Oryzias latipes: one gene and its partners. The protein of the gene in region 3 purifies or fractionates together with the protein of the main gene of each other region. This does not show direct contact. Links are inferred from orthologs where the notes say so. Each region holds a gene or a part of one and is shown on either strand. Other genes may lie near its edges.

Region 1 (3,653 bases), about 8.3 Mb from region 3:
GACCCCCCAGGGTCCCCCCATTCTGGGCACCTGCTTTTTCTCCTGGTCTCACGATATAGGGGTGAGCCACTTGCTGAAAGTGTTCCCGATAGATGTGCTTTCGTACCACATTGTACAAAGGGTCTCTGTAGGTGCACTTTTTACAGTAGTACACCGCTTGCTCCACAGTGTCTCCGGTCCTCCTCAGCAGACCATCCTTCATCATGACCCCACCCGTGCCTGCCACCATCCCACCAGGGGTCTGCCGCGCGGCGTTGTTGGGCATGTGGAAGAGTTTAATGTGCGTTTCCAGAGTCTTTTTATTCCCGTTGAACGTGCAGTAGGGACAGTTGAGCAGGATGTTGTTCTCAAAGTTCTCGCTGTGAACATTGCGAAAATGGCTCTTGTACGCCGAGAAGTACTTGGATGAAAAGAGGCAGCCAGAGCAGCAGAAAGGCTTTGATCTGTAGTCCTGGAGACACAAAAATTCAAAAGTCTTTATTAGTTTTTTAAAACTTGAACAGAAATAAAGTTCTTAAGGTTCTGGTGGCGAGTCGTTACAGACCTGGACTTTGGTATGCGATGGTTCCCACATGCACACATCTTCCCAGCTTGTGTGTTTGATATAGACCTCCGGAGGAGTAAAGTCTTTAAAGTCCTAAAAGGCAAAGAAAGTGATATAATAATTTCATACAGATCCACAGAAAAATAGCACATATGTGCAAACTTACAGTGTCTAAACACATAATAATCTAAAACATACTAAAGTACAAATCCAGCTCCAGTCACACCTGCAACTATTCAAACCATGACAATTTTGGACATTTGTTTAAATGTAAGTGGAAGCTTTGATTCCTTTAGGATTTCATCCAGGGACCTTCTGGGAGACACTTGTGTCATTACAAACAGTAGCAAACTTGCTGGTTAAATAAATGTTACTTCTAGTCATTTGCCAGGAGTCTGAATCATTTCAGCCAGCACAGTCCCATTTTAGAATCCATTGCATATTACAGGATATTAGGAATTTTTATGAACGAGTTGCATCTTAAAGTTAACTGAAAAAGGTGTCAGTATAAAACAAAAAAACAACAGTAATGTACAACAACTTAAAAAGGAAAAAACATCAGTTTTTTCTTTAAATATTTACACCATTCTTTGTCATTTTAAAGTGTAGGACAGTGTCAAACATCTATAATTGTATTATTTTAAAAATGACTAAGGATTACAATCAAAACCCTTCAATGTTGCTCACTCATCTTTTATGGATTAAATTGGATTTTATCATACCTTTATTTTTGTGCACCACTTTCAGACAATTTCATTTTTGAATTAGAGCTTTATATTAAAAAACAAAACAAAATAGTATTAAATATATTAAGGAAAGATGAGTTTCTTTTTAAATGGCTGTTCAAGGTGTTACTCAAATTTGCAGAAACACAACCCCAAAAAGAGGACTGACGAAAAACACGATGCCATGTTAATACGCAAGACAAACTTGCACAACTCATAAAAAAGCATAACTGCATCCTTTACTAAATTTCGAACCATATAGGATCACAACCAACAGTCTAGAGGAAACTCTGGGACCTTCTACTATGTAGACAAAAGCACGGAAGTTTGTTATAGAACGTCCAAACTGAGCATGCTCACCTCCAAGTGATCCTTGCAGAACTCAAGGCCGATGTCTCCCAGGACCTTTTTGACATTTTTTCTTGCTTTTCGTAGACTGCTGAGGTTATTGACAGGGAGCTGGAACATTCTGCCTGCATGGGGGAGAAACGTTCATTGAGACGTCAGAAACACACAAGGTCTCAAACATAAAACAGGCTTTTTATTTAACAACTCCTGAGAAAAGGTTTTTAAATTAACATGTGTCATTGAATGAGTTACTCCACTTGTAAAACCCTTTAATTAAAAGTGCAGCAAAAGAACCTTTTTTTTTAAAGGAAATTTGTTAAAATGTGTGAGATTGATAAACACAAGTGCAGCAAAAGAAAAAAATAAATAAAATCGCTGAAAGCTAAAGCAAGTGTTTAACAGGGCTATGGCAGCTCACAGGAAACAGGGAAAACATACAAAGTTAATTTTTAGGTTTTCTTTTAAATGACACAGATTGTGTCAAAAATATCATATAAACTACTTATGAGATTTAGGTCAAAATTCACAGCTTTGAAAGGAGAAAGAAAAATCTAAATCAAATAAATTCTTGATGTTTTTACCTTTGCCTTCAGTCATGATCAAACCTTTTAGAGACACTTTTGCAAAGTCAGCTGTTTTGTATGGTTACAGTCAGGTGTCTGATCAACAAATGATACCGAACGGGTGCAGAAGATCCGCAAAACCTTGAAACCCAGTCATGAACCGAAACAGAAACCGCTGTGTAAAAGACTTTAAACTGAGAGAATAACAGCCAAACAGCTACCGAGGAGAGGCTGTGAAAGACATTTTCATGGCAAAAAAAGACACGAGGTAGTGTGTCCGCAAAAAAGCAAGGTCTCTCCCAGACAAAGGTTTCAAAGCAGACTGGGGCTCAAGATGTTCAAGCTCTTCTGAAGAAGTTAGTTTCCCAATACATTTGGAGCAACCAGCAAAGTTCCTTCAGAAACCGTGTGCAAGTGTGCCTGGTAGAAATGATGCTGCTCTGAAAGCAAACATTGCATCGATTAGATTTAGAACTTTCTGATGTTCCTTTATAGTATTTTGCAGATGAAAATAAATGATTACAATTTTTTGAATCCAAACTTGGTTTAAAGCTTTTTTTATGTACATGGATGTGTATGTACACACATAGATATTTATAAACCCACACAAACATGCAGGTGCGCACAGACACAGCAGTCTTTGCATTAGGGTTTTAAATAATCTGCAGATCATTTGCATACAGCATAAAGTGTTCCTGTAAACCCACCTGCACAGCCACTGGCTGCACAACTGGCTGTGCAAGTGGGGTTTTTAACAGAGGTTTTACCTTGATACCAAACCCAGATTCTCAGGTTTATAGGGCTCAGTTTTCCATGAGCTGGACAACCAATTCTGGCAGACATGCACAGCATGCGCTTTGTGTTTTTTAACTGAAATGAAAGGCGCTATATAAAGTTCGAGTTTGAGCAAAAGTAGCTCCCTTCAGCAAAACAACCGTAACAAACTGCAGAATGTGTCATAACGCTTCTGCTTCCCATTGAGATTGATGTTTGTGCTTATTGTTGATGAACAAAGGTTGGAAGAGAATAAATATTTAGGATAAAATAACTTTAAATTGAGACAAGAAAGGTGCTGAGAATCCCCTTTTGCCATTGAATTCTTGCAAACACAAATCAGTTTTAAATATTAAGAAGTGTCTACTTGTGCTGTAACGAAGAGAAACATCCTCACCTGGTGCCACTATTTCAGTTCAGTGTTGAATAGCTAACTCTTTGTGCAGACAAGAGAAGCGATACCCTCTCTACTGTATGCATGTCCACTTTAAAAGCAGTTTTCTCTGCAACCCTGCTGCTCCGAGCCAAAACAACAGCAGTGATCTGATTCCAATGAGAAGAAATCTGCTGCATACAAATATGATCTATAAATCTATCATAAAAGGTATTGTATTTTAAATTATTGCATTTTTTTCTGTAACTTGTTTAATTCCAGTGTTTGTGTCACTTTAGATGTTAGCTCCTATTATTGGTTCTCCT
Region 2 (3,753 bases), on a different chromosome or scaffold from region 3:
AACTGCTAGGCTGGGCACTTTATCACGTAAACAGCACCAATGCCCCCTTGTGCACAGGACATGGGGGGAGACACACCTGCGTCTCACCTACTCCCGCCTGACTTTACCCTTGGGCGTTGTATAAGTCTTTGCTTTAAACTGTTGTTCGCAGCATGCCGGTAGAAAAAAGGAGTGCATGAACATTTTCACTTTACAGGATCACAGAGAGGTCAACAACCTTGATATTTCATGCGGGCCACCTGTATGCCGCATGCAGGTTTGCCCATTTTTTACCCCCAATCTATCCCTAAAGGGCAGTTGGACTAAGGCTTAAGACGATAGAAATAAAACTATTAGATCACATTGTTACTTAATGGCTTCTGACAGTGGCCATAAACAGAGGAGTAAAGAAGAATTGGCAAAGCGTTAAACTTCAGAAGAGACAGCAAAGCAGGAAAAACGCACAAATCATAACAACTCAAACCACATCTTTATGCAAACTGGAACTCCTTTGGCATCCATAAACCTCAATAAGCAACCTCTATTAATGCTGAACTCAATGTTTTTAGAGGAAAAGTATTAATAAACACAGTTTATGATCAGAAAGAGGATAAAAAGGGTCAATTTAGGATAATAAAAAACATAGCAGATAAATGCCTACTAGCTTGTAATAGCCTGTTACTAATCTCTAATAATATAAATAAATGATTGAGAAGTCTATGACTGTGTGACGTTTGACTTTTACACATCCTTGGTAAATATTACCACACAGATGTGCAACATTCGTGCACATAACTGGAGGACCTCAGGTCCCCAAAAGCCAGGAGGTTAACCCCTCAAAAAAACCTGGAATCTCATGGAGCACCTGCTTCAAGGACACGCAGAGTTGAGGTAGACTTGTGAAAGTTACTGCAGCTGGAGGAACGCAGAGAGCTCAGCACGCAGCAATCACTTCCACATCTGAAAGCTCATTTGCACAACCGCCGGCAGACTGGATCCACTGTCTGCCTGACAAATGTGTCAGCTGCAGCAGAATCCTGATCGGTTGTCCTCCACCCCGCTCCTCCTCGAGAACCTGTCTGCTCAGCTAAGGCAGGAGGAAGGAGCGCCGCCACCATTTTGATTGCTCTTCCCAGCCCCGGTATTGTCGCAGCACACTGTGTCAAGCTCACAGCCTCTTTGTCAGCAAGATTTCACAGAGTGGCCAGGAGAACTGCAGAGCACGTGCACGCACGCACACACACACAGCATGCACAAACACCTCCTTCACTTCCCTGCCAGGCTTGGACACCTTCAGGACTAAACATGTGAGCGCCTCACTGCAGTGGACACAGGGCGCACTACAACACACCGCTAATTAATACTATTGATCGAAATAACTTTTAAAGTACTCAAAAATCAAAATAAAAGCACCAGCACCTCTAAACGAAAACCAATACCGAAGAACCGCTTTTATTTTGAAATTTTAAAGGAGATGCAAGACAAAATGGGAACCTTCTTGAGAACTTCTCAAAAGGAGCAGTTGTTACTTCAGCCTTGCATGCTCATGACAGATGACTGCGTTCTGTTGACACTACTTGGTTGAACATTAACCACCTCGTGGCCAAAAAAACACTGGTCTACATTAGAATTCCAGCCCCATCTCCAGGTTCCTTCAGCCACCAAGGTTTTCCAGCCCAGACCTGGCAAACCCCACTCACCTATGTGAATCCCTGTTTTTAAATAAAGCTTGGAAACACTTGTACCCCACTTTTATTTTAGGAGCTCCCTGGGGAGGGTTGAACTTCCCAGAAGGATAGGAACGGAGAGGAGGAGGAGGTCGCGCTTTTTTTCTGAACCTTTGTTCTGCTGTGGGTGCTCCTGCCTGAGGTTCTCCTTGGAGACTCATCTGCTTTCCTCCATTTTATGGTGGAGCTCTGTGGTTGTACCTGACTGGGGAGCTGTGACAGCGAGCAGGCAGCGCGCGAGGAACGGCGCGTGCGCGTGTGTCTGTGTGTGTGTGGGGGGGGGGGGGGGGTCACACAAAATGTAGCCACGAGGACGAAGAAGCTAGCGATAATCGTTTAAAGGCAAGACGGACTAAGCGCGCGCGCGACTTCACGAGACACCTAGCCTCTGTGGTCAGAAATAAATAAATAAACAAATAAGCTAGAGGATAAGGTTTCAATAAGAAGAAGAAAAAAAATCAAAGAGATGGGGGGAGGAGGGGGTGTAGCTTCCTCACACAGGCTTTCATGGAGACTGGACCAGAGGCTACAGCAGCTCCTCTGTCGCTAATGGAGTCTGCTTCAACGGCTTCTTCATGAAGCTAGTGCTCCAGCCGGACAGGGGACGCGCGGTAATTCCCCCCCTCCTGTCCTAGCCGGACATAACAAACCCCCGCTGATGAAGACAGCCTCCTAACACCGTCCATTTCCTTGAGTCACTTTGACAACAAACAAGAGAGGCGACATAGCGAGGAAGCCGTTGGGTCAGGATATCAGGGGGAAGCGAGAAGACCCACTTGACTCTGACTGCATGGGTGCCAGTCAAAGCGGCTAGAAAAATCTCCCACCGACTTCCTCGTCTGGACCTCGGCTAAAGCGCTCCAGGTCATTCACGAGGCGCTCTCCACGCTAAATCCCATGATCCACCAAACCCGACGTTCTCGCAGACCTTGACGAAATCTTGCCGAAACTGGAAATAGAGCGAGAACGGAGGCAATAAAAACAAACTCACTGCTTCAATCTCCTCCTCAAGCGATCCTCCCGAAAGTTGTCCTCGTATTTCATGCGTGCGCCCGGTCGGTCTAATGGATGATCGCCATCTTTCCTGCTTCTCCTTTGCTGCAGCTGCAGATGACCTGAGATCCGTCTGTCTCTGAATAATGAGCAACCACACAGACAAGGAAGACAATCTGCAAAGCAGGCTACACAAAGAAGTTTGGGAGACTAGCAAGCACCAGAGGGTGCACAAGAGTTTACGACGAGACGAGGGAGCATCAGCAGGATGGACAACGTCTGTGGCCGAGAAGCTCATCCTTCATCAAGACTGAAGTCAGATGATCTGCAAAGCCTTATGAGCGGCTCAAAGCAGCAGCAGACGCGCGCGGCCACACCGAATTTTATATAGGCTTGATACTATGGTTGCTACGTCATGAGGTTATCTGCAGTTCACTTTGGAGGAGATGCATCCATCACTGGATAGATAGATAGATAGATAGATAGATAGATAGATAGATAGATAGATAGATAGATAGATAGATAGATAGATAGATAGATAGATAGATAGATAGATAGATAGATAGATAGATAGATAGATAGATAGATAGATAGATAGATAGATAGATAGATAGATAGATTTTTTTCCATCAATACTTTTTTTAATTCAAATAAAGTAATAAATATTTAAATCAATCTTTCTCCTCATTTATTTTGTGTGTTGTGACCACCATGGCTGCAGACTGTTGTCCAGCAGCTGCAAACATATAGAGAGGGGGCCCCAACACAAAAGGCGTGGGGTTCTGCTCAGATGTGGGCGCCTGAGGGGGGCAGAGCAGCAAGAAGGGGGCATGCATGGTTGGGTGGCCGAATGGCGAGGAAAGGAATGGCCAACCTGGCTTGCACAACTGAGCAACGACAGGATCACATCATGTGGGATCACTGTCTCATTTGGGATTCATGGAAGTTTGATGAGGCAGTTCCTTAATAGTCTGGAGCCTTTTTTTTCTTTTTATTAATTCATATTTAAAATTGTTTTTTGTGGCAATGCTTGATTTTCATATTTTAGAAAGAT
Region 3 (3,753 bases):
ATTAAATCAATGGCAAAACCTTAGCTGTCCAATTTGACATGTTTCCTCACTGATTCCTTTGCCGCCTTAGAAGAAAGGCTGCCTTTCAGTGTTAAGTTGTACATGTTTTACAGGGTGTGCGCCGTGTTTGCATGCAACATGTGAATGTCAGAACACAAAATGTGCCCATAAAAAGTTTCACAGAAAAATTGTACACATTTTGCACACAATGATTCTACTGGAACCTGAAGAAAAAAAAAAACACTTTTGCGTTGGAATTGGTTAATACTGCCCTCTGCTGACAAACGGCAGTAAATAGGTTTTTGATGTGTGATTCTAAAATTGCATTAAATCTATAAAGTATATATATATATTTTTGTCAGTTTGCAGGGTAATGTTATGAAAAATGTAATTTATACTGTAAAACGAAGTGAACACATGAAGACCTTGAAACACTCAAAATGTTTATTAAAGGATGCTACTATACATGTATACTTGGAACATTTCTCTCACACAATAAACTACTGACTTTAAAAAATGTATATTGTCAAAAGGTAAATAAAACCCATATTTACATTAAAAAATGTGCTGGCAAGGAAATGTATGGGTAGTATCAAAAGGAAGATGACAGCATTTCTTATCAGTTAAAAACAAGCAGTCTGTGAATCTGCAGACATTTGGTCCAATGCTTCTCTGCAGGCTGCAAAACCAGTTTCAATCTTCAACAACAAACCATGTATTTATCAGGGTTAGTCACCTTAAAATTCAAACTAATGAACAGGTGATAAGGAGCTATTCAAACAATATTTTTTGTAATTCATTAAAACTACTGAAGCTTTTTAGCAGGGGGAGCATGGAAAAAGAAATGCAAATAAATAAATCTAGTCTTTATTGTTGACCACAGTATTAATTTCAGTTATCAAAGTGGCAGCTAAGTTTCTCCTTTGAATGCTAGCTGAATTTTATTTTGAAAGGGCGCAAGATCACACAATTCATGCAAATTAAAAGTAAAAAAAAAAAAAATCATTCAAACAATGATTGGGATATGATTAAAAGTACAGAATGGAGAAAAAAATGTCTTTATTGTATTTTTTCTTCTTCTGGCAACACTGTCAAAAAAAACAGAAAGAAAAAAACCGCAAAACAATCATTTGACGAAACAGCACAAATTAAAACCAATATACATCACTACACAGACGTGCACCTACATGACTAAACAGGTGCACCAGTCTTCTCAACTGCAGGCCAATCCAGCTGCCATGTCATTAATTCAGCTTTCACAATTATCATAGTTTTTACATTTAAATTTCATGAAGGTGATCATGTCCCTTTTGAAGCATGTTATGGTGATGGATGTCAAAACATGAAACAGATGAATGCTTCAGGAAGATGAATGATCAATGGAATCCTGAACATCAGATCAACATCTACTCATTGGGACAAATATTTAGGATTTTTTTCTTACCTTAATCTGAAACAAAAATATTAAACTACAACAAAGAGAATTGATGGCAGAGTAGACGTCATGATCAAATGATCGCACATGTTTGAGCGTTTGGTGAGAGTGGCCCTGTTAAAAATTACCGGTTACAAATATTAAAAAAAAAAAAAAAAATAGAAACAGTGGGGAAAACGATTATTAAACACGTTTAAAAATGAATCAGGTGTGATATCTGCTGCCTAAAGGGGTAAAAAAAGAAAGATAAGTGAATAGCTTCAACATTTTCCTGTCAAAGAAAAGATGTGCACTGTTTACAACACAATGATGGGGATCGGGAATTCCCCCCTAAACCGTCAAATCTGGTACTTGGGTCTGGATTTGCAACTTTAACAGATGGCCACCAGTAATAGTTTCTCCAGATTTCTTCCTAGTAACATTTTTATGCAAGCACTTTAAAAAACAGGGAAAAGATAAAGACAAAAATGTTAAGATATTACAAAAAAAAAAAAAATCAATACAAAAACAGTAGAAACATTGCCCAGTAGCATATCACCCAGGTCCACTAACAAACAGCTTTCTATTTGATGGATCCTTTACAGAGTCTGGGCCCTTGTGCTCAATGAGGCATGAGTGGAGAAAACAACAAAAGGGATGCACTGTTTTTGTTTCACTGTTGGACAAAGTGAGGGATGGAAGTTTGGGAGAAGGAAAACAAAAAGTCCAACAGAATGTTTTCCCTGCAGTGGAGGTTTCCTCCAGAGGTGTTGCACTCAAGCACTGACAGCATCCTTCTCCTTCTTGTCACCGTCTTCGTGCCAGGTGAGGCGCTCCTCGTAGAAGGCTATGACGATTTGTGGACACTTATGATTGGCCTCCTTGGCAAGAACAAGATCCGCCTCGTCTGAATCTTTCCTAAAAGAGGGTAAAGCTTGAAATATTTTTGCACCACACTTCACTAACTTAAGTCCAAATAAGGCATTGTGGGATTTCATAAACAAGCTGTAGGCGGTTGCACTCTATCCTAGTCTCTGTGAAATGGCATTTCACTGTTATATTTCTAAGAGGTTCATTTACACTGCAATTTAACCATGTATTGAGACAGCATCAAGTGTTCTATCATAAAACCAAATAAAATGGGTAAGTTGGCAAGACAAACTTTTCATCTGGTGCAACAAAGGTATAGTCAGACTTCATCACAGGTGTTTTTATTTGTTCTTTCGCTCTAGGATTAAAACTGATCACAGAGAATTTTCTATAAATCATAGCAAATGAGAACAATTCTAAATTCATGATTATTTTTATGGATTTGTAAATTTATTCAAAGTAAAAGTATCAAGTCTGCAACTCAAATATGAGTCCAGAACCAGGCATGAGTGATGGTGCACTGCGTATATCCATCTAGGTAATAAGAGATAACATTAATTTTATGGTTTGGCTTCCTGTTCATCTATGGACAGACAGCCCGGTTACTGAAGTTTCTAATGGGTGATTTGCCCAGTTAACCGACACAGTCAAAAGCCTTTTTTTTTTAAGAGTCATTCCCTTCCATGTTGCAGTCAACAGTAAAACAGTCTGTGGTGATTGCACCTAGCGGAGCAGCAATTTCACACCAGATCATCATAATCATCATCATCCCAACAACAAAACTTACCATTTCATGAGGAACATTAAGTCTCCGCATGAATCAGTGGCTCCAATGATTTTCTCTGGCTCAAGTCCTCTTTCAAAGCCACGGGCTACTAGAATTTCCTCCTGTAAGAAACAAAGAAAAAAAGTTCAAACCTGAGGAAATGTTTAAAACTGTTTGTTTTTGTCTTTTGATTCTGTGCTTTAACCTCATATTTACACTTTACTGCTCTACTGGACAAATGCCGTCAGATATTTTATTGAAATTCCTTCTGTGTATAAACAGATTAATACTTTGCTTGTTTTTGCGGTAATCATTTTCAATATGTCTTATTGGTTTATGTATTATAAACAATTTTTTAATCCATGTCTAATTGATTTTAGTTTCTTTTAGCCCCCCAAATATTACTTTTATTGGATTGTATGTAGAATTGTGCTGAAAAGGCTGATTATTTGTACAAGGTGCAAAATGACAGAAGTAAAGCACTGAACACATACAGACAGATTGAGCATGTTGACATGCACATCAACTAGTTGATCGCCTGACTTATTGACCTTTTGTAATTTTCAGGACGCCACAAAAACAGGATGCGAGATCAAGACATGTGGATTTCTCAATGGTGAAGTGTACTGGCACATATCAACAATTGTATCTTCTAAAAATAAATAATTATATGTCTAAAACGTGTGTTTCAAACTTAAAGGCC

Evidence for each region.
Region 1: the proteins of cbx5 (region 3) and activity-dependent neuroprotector homeobox protein purify together in Homo sapiens (affinity purification with mass spectrometry; 4 studies listed by BioGRID and IntAct, with this or other methods). This does not show direct contact. The link is inferred for Oryzias latipes from reciprocal best matches to the Homo sapiens genes CBX5 and ADNP.
Region 2: the proteins of cbx5 (region 3) and znf462 purify together in Homo sapiens (affinity purification with mass spectrometry; 3 studies listed by BioGRID and IntAct, counting the BioPlex papers as one, with this or other methods). This does not show direct contact. The link is inferred for Oryzias latipes from reciprocal best matches to the Homo sapiens genes CBX5 and ZNF462.

Annotation. Positions count from the first base shown.
Region 1 is NC_019865.2:4,529,150-4,532,802, forward strand, and holds part of activity-dependent neuroprotector homeobox protein, read right to left. Parts: intron 1,743-3,653; 5' UTR 1,738-1,742; coding exon 1,630-1,737; intron 638-1,629; coding exon 545-637; intron 452-544; coding exon 1-451.
Region 2 is NC_019870.2:9,245,333-9,249,085, reverse strand, and holds the start of znf462 (zinc finger protein 462), read right to left. Parts: upstream 2,811-3,753; 5' UTR 2,698-2,810; intron 1-2,697. UniProt on the Homo sapiens protein: Zinc finger nuclear factor involved in transcription by regulating chromatin structure and organization. Involved in the pluripotency and differentiation of embryonic stem cells by regulating SOX2, POU5F1/OCT4, and NANOG.
Region 3 is NC_019865.2:12,831,609-12,835,361, forward strand, and holds the end of cbx5 (chromobox protein homolog 5), read right to left. Parts: intron 3,173-3,753; coding exon 3,072-3,172; intron 2,333-3,071; coding exon 2,191-2,332; 3' UTR 423-2,190; downstream 1-422. UniProt on the Homo sapiens protein: Component of heterochromatin that recognizes and binds histone H3 tails methylated at 'Lys-9' (H3K9me), leading to epigenetic repression. In contrast, it is excluded from chromatin when 'Tyr-41' of histone H3 is phosphorylated (H3Y41ph).